3 linked regions of the Yarrowia lipolytica genome follow. The main gene of each other region encodes a partner of the protein of the gene in region 2 in a complex. Links are inferred from orthologs where the notes say so. Each region holds a gene or a part of one and is shown on either strand. Other genes may lie near its edges. The genes, in order: YALI1_E34870g, YALI1_D12750g and YALI1_B02881g.

Region 1 (1,926 bases), on a different chromosome or scaffold from region 2:
AATCCAGTGCCAGTGAAGAATACTCCGATAAGCAGAAGGAGCTTGAGAGTTTTTCCAACCCTATCTTGATGAAGTTTTACGGAGTCTCTGGAGGTTTCCCTGTCGCAGGTGAGGGTGCTGCCCATTGCGGCGGCAAGTGCCCTACCGTGGTGGAGGTTGACTAAGTCATGAGTGCTACAGTAGTCACATGTACATGCAAAATATTATAGAATAATTTATGATCAATTGATCAATGAAGTAAGCAAACTTGGCAGAACTAGTGAGCAATGTATAGAGATGATAAATCAGTACTGCAGTGTATGTGCTCAGATAATGAGTAGCTAAGCAACTACAATTGTACAAGTAGTGAACTTTTGAAAGAGTTGAAGTTTTGAGATGTGTAAGCGTTGATTTATTATTTTGACGGTACATGTTCTGTAAGATCTCCAATTTCTGTCCTTCTGTGGCCATCCGATCAGGCGGCAAACTGAATACAGTACCTATCTACACATCCACTCCGTCCACATCGAAACCAGTGTACGCAATTTCGCCCCCACACTCCCTTGGTAAATCAGAAATATGTACAATTACAATAAATAGCATCATTTAACCCTGTCGCTGCTTGTGTCGAGGGTGGGTCTTGCAGTAGTTGAAAACTCGACCCTTTCGAGTGACAATCTGATATTAGTAACGTGTCTAGAAGGGGCGGAATCACTTGATCCTAGTGAACAGTGTCACGAAAAACTCTTGTGGATGGATACTTACGTAGCAGTCGGGGCATCGCTTTCGCACGGCAGACTTGGTCTTCATTCCTCGGACGGTGATGGCGGCAGCGGCATTCACGGCCGGTCGAGACACCTGGCCAGCGGTCTGGAACAGGGAGGGTCGCTGAAGAGTAATCATGGCCGGAACTCGGCTAATGGATCGAAGGACGTTGAACATTGCGAATTTGATTGTCTGGTCTTTGCAACGCTTTTATGTTGTGTGAATTTTTCAAAGTTCGCACTTCAAACAATATAAACTTTTGGCGCCACGGTCCAGCTTTAGCCACCAGGGTTATGTATATTTGGGACTGCACGGAACATGTGGGCACACACGAGAGACTTCCGTACGTATGTCATAAGAATGACTCGAAATAGTAGTCGGAGAAGTGTGAAAAAAATGGACGGGACTAAGCGAAAATCCGACTACAATCTGGTGTAATTCATACTCATCACGCTGTCCAACATATGTCTCGGATTTAATTCTCCACGGCCTTAACTCACCATTAGGGTATGTGAGTGGTATGATATTGCTGGGCTATACCGGAAAAGCACTCATCAGCCGCGTGCTAAGTTCGTGATTGCAACAAATACTCGAGCTTGGGGATATAATTAGGTACCCACGGGACCTTGATAACGCGATCGGGTAAGACCTCTAACTTACATGTGGAGATATCTTGCCCATAGTATCCTTTGAATGACCAAGAAATATACCGAGCAGGGGTTTGTGCAATTTGTAATTGTTAAATACCCAATTGGACTTGCTTGGTTGATCTAACAACAATCAACGACTCGTACATACTGTGCTGCCGGTACTCGTAGCACGTGTAATTAATGTAGACTGGGTGGAACTGCCACATCCTCGTGGTGTGATATCAGTATGGTTTTGTGAAAGCAACAGGATCGAAACTTTTCAACTGTCTCGTTTAGTAGTGGAGTTATTGGTCCCATGACAGTTCGACAGAGAGATTATCGAGATTGCGCTTTGAGAAATACTTGCACGTTTGTTGGAGACACGAGCACAGAGAGCTCCGTTTGAACCTGTTGATTGATTTTAGCGCTGTCATATCTACAAAACAAAGAATGTCATTGGAATCATCAACACAACCATCCATTGTTGGCATGACATTCAGGCTCATTTTACCTCAACTCTGGTAGACATACCTTCACAAGATATAGACTCCGG
Region 2 (2,420 bases):
CAATCACTTGGCGCAGCCTCTTGTCTCTTGCGGATACCGTTCCCGATTAGACGGACCAACTGCACGTAAACTGGGTTTCTGGGTGGCCCTTGTTCGGCGTTTCGTTGCTGCAGAAAGACAAGACGAAATCTGAAAAAATCTGAAAAACTACACCTCCCACCTGTGAACTAACGCGGCAGTGAGAATGACCATGATATAGCAATTTCGGAGTAGATACGACGAAAAAACATAGAGAAGGAACCCCGCCACCATTAACGCGACCACTCAAACAACCTCTATACCCTCCATGATAGCCCCCATGGCACCTCGGGTACAGTACGTCACATAAAACCGTGTCCTCTCCCCTCGCCTTGGCTAACATCTCCTCTCCTGCCTCACCAATGTCTTACCCAGCCAAATGGAGGCCGCATTTCTGAGGCGTCAGAATTAATTTGGTGCTATTAATCACTGATGATAGGTGGACTTGGCCTGGTACAAATTCCGATATTTAAAAGGGGGTGACTGGTTGCAATTTTTTTATGTATATATTATATATATACATTACAGTATATATACAACAATATATATACAGTATATATATTTTTATATTAGCTTGTTTGTCTCGTTTTTTTTTTTCCTCCCCCATATTCTAAAATAAGAATCCAACAACAAAACACACAAAGGCAGGTTTAAAAAAGGTCGATTAACTGGATTTTTTGGTTCTAAAAAAAGACGGACCCTCTCCAACATAAAAGAAACCTGCAACTCTTCCTGACCAAAAAAAAAAAAAAAAAAAAAAAAAAAAAAGGAAATCCAACATATTACGAGTACGAGTATGAGTACTTAACCATCTCACAAAAATCGATTGCCATTCTCCGTCGAGATCATGACCCAGTTCTAAATGTATCAACAGACAATCTTAAGGCGTCAAATACAACTGACCGACTGGAGTATAAGTTGGTGATTAGCTAATCAAAAGACACCAACAACAATACCATTGCACTCAGAACAGAACCCCGATGTATTCCATCAATATCCATCTTTTATATCTCTCAGCTCTCCTGAAGTTATCGATCCAGCTATGAGGATCATTTTCCTTCCAACAGCTTCATTTGGACCACAAAACAATGACGTGGCATCAGAAGGGCTTCTTCACAGGCCATCAGCTCATTTCTCAGTTCATCTCCTCCTGGAAGCTCTCGTATTCATACTTGTACTTGTACTACTGTCTATCGCCATACTCCCGAATAAAGTTGCTTACTCATCTCCTCCCACAACCCTCATCCCGCTCAAATTAACGTTCGAAAATTTCACACACCATCACGAATCAACATGTCACAGACTATTGGTAAAGTGAGTATTTGAGCGGCGGAAGCAGGTGTCTTCTGAGCAAATCGTCAACATACCCTTGTTTTCTTACTAACCCAGGCACGTCTGGCTTTTTCCAGAACCTGGCACTTTGTGGACGTGGCCAAGGAGCAGCGAACCCTTGGTCGACTGGCCACCTCCATCGCCCAGACTCTCCAGGGTAAACACAAGCCCGTGTACAACACCGGCCACGACTGCGGCGACTATGTGGTTGTCGTGAACGCCGACAAGCTGCGATTTTCGGGCTCCAAGCTGCAGCAGAAGGAATACTTTGTGCAGTCGTCTCAGCCTGGTCACTCTCACCATGTGGCTGTCAAGCGAGTGATTGAGAACCAGGGAGTCAGCGAGGTTCTGCGACGAACCGTTGCCGGTATGCTGCCCCGAAACAAGCTCAAGCGGGGCCGAATCGCCCGGCTCAAGGTCTTTGAGGGCACCGAGCATCCCTACAAGCAGAACCTCGTGGCCTACCATGACGAGGCTGGCGTTGTGGTCAAGAAGGATTAAATGGAGGAAACGGAACTTTGTATATAGAGCATAAGAATGTTGATATGACTTAAACGGGGCGGAATAGGGTGTGTTGGAGCTCTGGTCTGGGCTTAGGAGCAGTAGGTGATCCCTTGAACTTGTACCGGAACTTGTAGCCAACTGGGGTGTTTGAAGTATCACGTGAGCATTTGTAATAACATACAATGGTTCTGTTGCTGTTCCTGCTATACAGTACTTATCAACTATAGTATCATCGCCTCTGGATGGTTTGACATGTTATAGCGTCTCAGATCAGACTTCAGACGATGGGTATTAGTAATACGTGAGCACGGACACAACAAGAAGCAGTTAATTATACAAGAGAAGAGAAGTAGACAGATTTTGATAGGGGCAATCGATTAGTCAGCGTCTAATAATACTACCCCTCTATTCCTTTCATCCTCATTCGTTCTAGGGCACAATGTACTCGGTTCTTTCAAAATCGGGTTGCTCACATCATGGGTTTAAGTTGCAACCCAATCGCTTCATTATCACCATCACCAATGTCGGTCGAGCCGAAATACAAAATCATCCAGCGGTTCGACGAG
Region 3 (2,926 bases), on a different chromosome or scaffold from region 2:
CGCGATTATGGCGGTAGTCATTTTGTACTTTTATAAGAGAGACGAGAAGCGAGATTGTCTGCGAAACGGAATTCTGCTGGTGAATGATAATGAAGATAATGGCGACAAAACTGGCAAGGGAGTCGTTATTGAGGGTCTTTCTGAGAGCTTTGATGAAGATACTGGAGTTGCGAAGAAGCTTGAAGTCGAAAAGATCAGAGAAGCCAGTGTTAGTGACGAAAATGTCAGCAACCTGTCGTTGGTGGTTATTTGATGGTACAGTGATTTGATGGTAGAGTAATTTGATGGTATAGTAGCTACTGTACAGTATGTATAATTGATCTGGTTTGCTACAATGTTTATGACAACAGACCTTTGTCACTACGAGTATGTACAGTACTCGCAAGATTTCTGTCTGTTTTCAAATTCATCATCTTATTAGCCTCATGGCTCACTATATACAAATCTGTACTCTTTTGGGTGTCCGGTATTTACCTGGTCGTCGATAGGATGGAGTCCACTCGCGACCAAAGGCCATTCATTAGCGCTTAAGATCGTCCCTGATGCTTCTCCTTTCCAATGAAAGGAAAGTTGAAAGCCGACAGCAACGCTCGGGCCTCGGAATCAGCCTGGGCGGTGGTGTGGATGGTGATGTGCATTCCGTACATCTGCAGGTAGGCGTCCTGGTTGGCCTCGACCTCGGGGAAGTTCTTGACGTCCTCAGGGATCAGACCAAAGGCGATGTTTCCGTTTCTATCTCCAGACGAATTTCGAATTCCGTTGAATCCAATGGCTCGAGGCAGAACCAGCTCTGTCAACGAGGTCATAAAGTCGGAAATCTTCTCGCCGGTAATCTCCACTTTGGCGCCCATGGGGTAGCCCTTTCGGAGCTTCCAGGTCATGATATTAGACCGGGACCGGACTTCCTTAGCAGCACAGCCGGTGATCTGCTGCAGCAGGAGTTTCTGGTTGATCACCTTCTCGTGGTCAAGAACAGTGCCGGGGTCTGTGCAGTTGATGGTGATCTTGGTGATGGCAGGGATGTTCTTCCAGGTTCGAGGGTGCACGTCCTTGGTGGGGGTCTTGTTGGGACCTCGAGGGGGCTGAGCAGGTCGTCCAAGATGGTAGGGCGAAGTGAAGTCCCATGGTCGGTGCTTATTTCCCTTTCGCACGGACTGTTCGTGGACATAGCCCATCAGCAGCATGTCTGACGCGACCGTGTTGTTGTAGTGGTCGACAACCCGGTCAACACGGGTGTTCTTGGGCACATACTTGTTGGACTCAATCGATCCAGGGTGGGTCAAAAGAGTCTTGGTGAAAGCCGGCTTGAGAATGTTCTTTTTGTATCTGTAAAGATGGTGAACCGGCGGCTTGATCGAGATCTTGGCGCCTCGAGACACGGCCGCAGAGGCGTGGAAGGAGCGGGTGAAGACCACGGACATTGTGAGTTGTGAGGGTCGTGATGTGTAACGCAGCACAAGAAGGTGAGTGAAAATTATTGACTTTGGGAGTTAGTAAGCAGGGATGAAAAACGCAAGTGATTATCCGTAAAAAAAGGCGTGGGTACTAGTTAGTAGTAATCAACCGACATGGGCTTTGTATTGGTAACATCATTGACTTCTAATATAGAAAATTTCCCGAACAAAACTACCCGGTCTAGAATATACACAGAATTAGCAATTTGGCGTGAATATTTGGGTCTGCCTTGAAAATCTCTCCAGAACTCGGGGAAAAATAGGAAAACACATAAACAGTCGAATAGCAGTCTGTATATGGTGAAATTCTTTGTAATATCCCTTCTTTATCTCCTGTTTTGGCGCAGTAATGATGTCCACTAGTAAGTACCAAATATACGCCTACATGACTTTTTGGCGTGCACATTCTTGTCCGGTGATTACAATGCAGTATTGGAGTTGTGTTTTGGGCTTGATAAGGAAGACTGTGAAGTGGGATGTGGGTGGGCGGTTAATTAGTAATCAAAGAGGTCGTTAGTTAGTCATCTTACAGTCATAGATTATGTAAAATATCACGTGACGTCTATGATCCAGTTGATGTTACTCTCATTTCAATCGCACTGTTTCTAGTATCGTTTCAAGACACATTGCTTCACCCTCCATACAGCTCGGTCTGCATATTCTAAGTTGCATGTATCAAAAAAGTATAGCCGACTGAATCCATCAAGACACATCCAGGACCATGAAATTCAGCCCATTGAGACCGGCGGTGTTGACGCGGATTCCGAATTTCGAAGACGGATACGACCCGCTATGGGACGATGAGGAGCTGTCGCAGGAAATCAGTCAGTACGAGATGTCTCTGGAGGAAGAAGGCACACCCAGTAAGCCTCCTCGGAAGACTCCTTCTCAGTCGAGATTTGCAACGGAGTACAGTGCCTCGAACAGTCCGACTCGGCCGACGAAACCGGCAGTGTCATCTCCTTTGAAGCAGGAGCACAGAGACGAGACTCAGGACGTCAAAGAAGACTCATATCGCTCTATCCACGATCTGTCTTGTGCAGAGTGGGAGGGTACATTGAACCGGGTGTCACTTATCCTTGATCAATGTCATCTGAGTCCCGTTGGAAATTTCAAGCGGGGTCATAGACGGGGTTCCAGTGTTAACAGTGTGTCTCTGGGTTCCCCGGTCGACCCTGCGGCTGCCATTGATTGGGGAGCTCCTTTAGCTCAGGTCGAGAAGGAACTCCAACATGTGGAGGACGTGTGGGCGTCTGAGGAGCTCAAACGACACAATGACGTGGCTCGACGGGAGTCTGTGTTTATGTCTCGGATGGGAGACGATCGGCTCAAGCAATCTGATGAGCTGGCCAAGAAGCGGGAAAAGAGAAACAGCGTGATTGTGGGCGGGTTGGTTGATCAATGGGAGGCTGAGAGACGGGAAGAAGAGCGGCAAAGGCTGGAGGCCGAGAGGAAGGAGCGTGAGAGGATTG

What was found.
Region 1: YALI1_D12750g (region 2) and YALI1_E34870g share a complex: the UniProt entries of both Schizosaccharomyces pombe proteins name them as parts of the mitochondrial large ribosomal subunit. The link is inferred for Yarrowia lipolytica from reciprocal best matches to the Schizosaccharomyces pombe genes mrpl23 and rtc6.
Region 3: YALI1_D12750g (region 2) and YALI1_B02881g share a complex: the UniProt entries of both Schizosaccharomyces pombe proteins name them as parts of the mitochondrial large ribosomal subunit. The link is inferred for Yarrowia lipolytica from reciprocal best matches to the Schizosaccharomyces pombe genes mrpl23 and mrpl7.

What each region holds. Positions count from the first base shown.
Region 1 is NC_090774.1:3,485,971-3,487,896, reverse strand, and holds YALI1_E34870g (uncharacterized protein), read right to left. Parts: upstream 922-1,926; coding exon 745-921; intron 658-744; coding exon 586-657; downstream 1-585. Other genes in the region: YALI1_E34880g (uncharacterized protein), read left to right, coding at 1-164. UniProt on the Schizosaccharomyces pombe protein: Component of the mitochondrial ribosome (mitoribosome), a dedicated translation machinery responsible for the synthesis of mitochondrial genome-encoded proteins, including at least some of the essential transmembrane subunits of the mitochondrial respiratory chain.
Region 2 is NC_090773.1:1,273,747-1,276,166, forward strand, and holds YALI1_D12750g (mitochondrial 54S ribosomal protein uL13m), read left to right. Parts: upstream 1-1,311; coding exon 1,312-1,332; intron 1,333-1,407; coding exon 1,408-1,851; downstream 1,852-2,420. Other genes in the region: YALI1_D12760g (uncharacterized protein), read left to right, coding at 2,331-2,420. UniProt on the Schizosaccharomyces pombe protein: Component of the mitochondrial ribosome (mitoribosome), a dedicated translation machinery responsible for the synthesis of mitochondrial genome-encoded proteins, including at least some of the essential transmembrane subunits of the mitochondrial respiratory chain.
Region 3 is NC_090771.1:286,663-289,588, reverse strand, and holds YALI1_B02881g (mitochondrial 54S ribosomal protein uL5m), read right to left. Parts: upstream 1,422-2,926; coding exon 528-1,421; downstream 1-527. Other genes in the region: YALI1_B02910g (uncharacterized protein), read left to right, coding at 1-253; YALI1_B02874g (uncharacterized protein), read left to right, coding at 2,176-2,926. UniProt on the Schizosaccharomyces pombe protein: Component of the mitochondrial ribosome (mitoribosome), a dedicated translation machinery responsible for the synthesis of mitochondrial genome-encoded proteins, including at least some of the essential transmembrane subunits of the mitochondrial respiratory chain.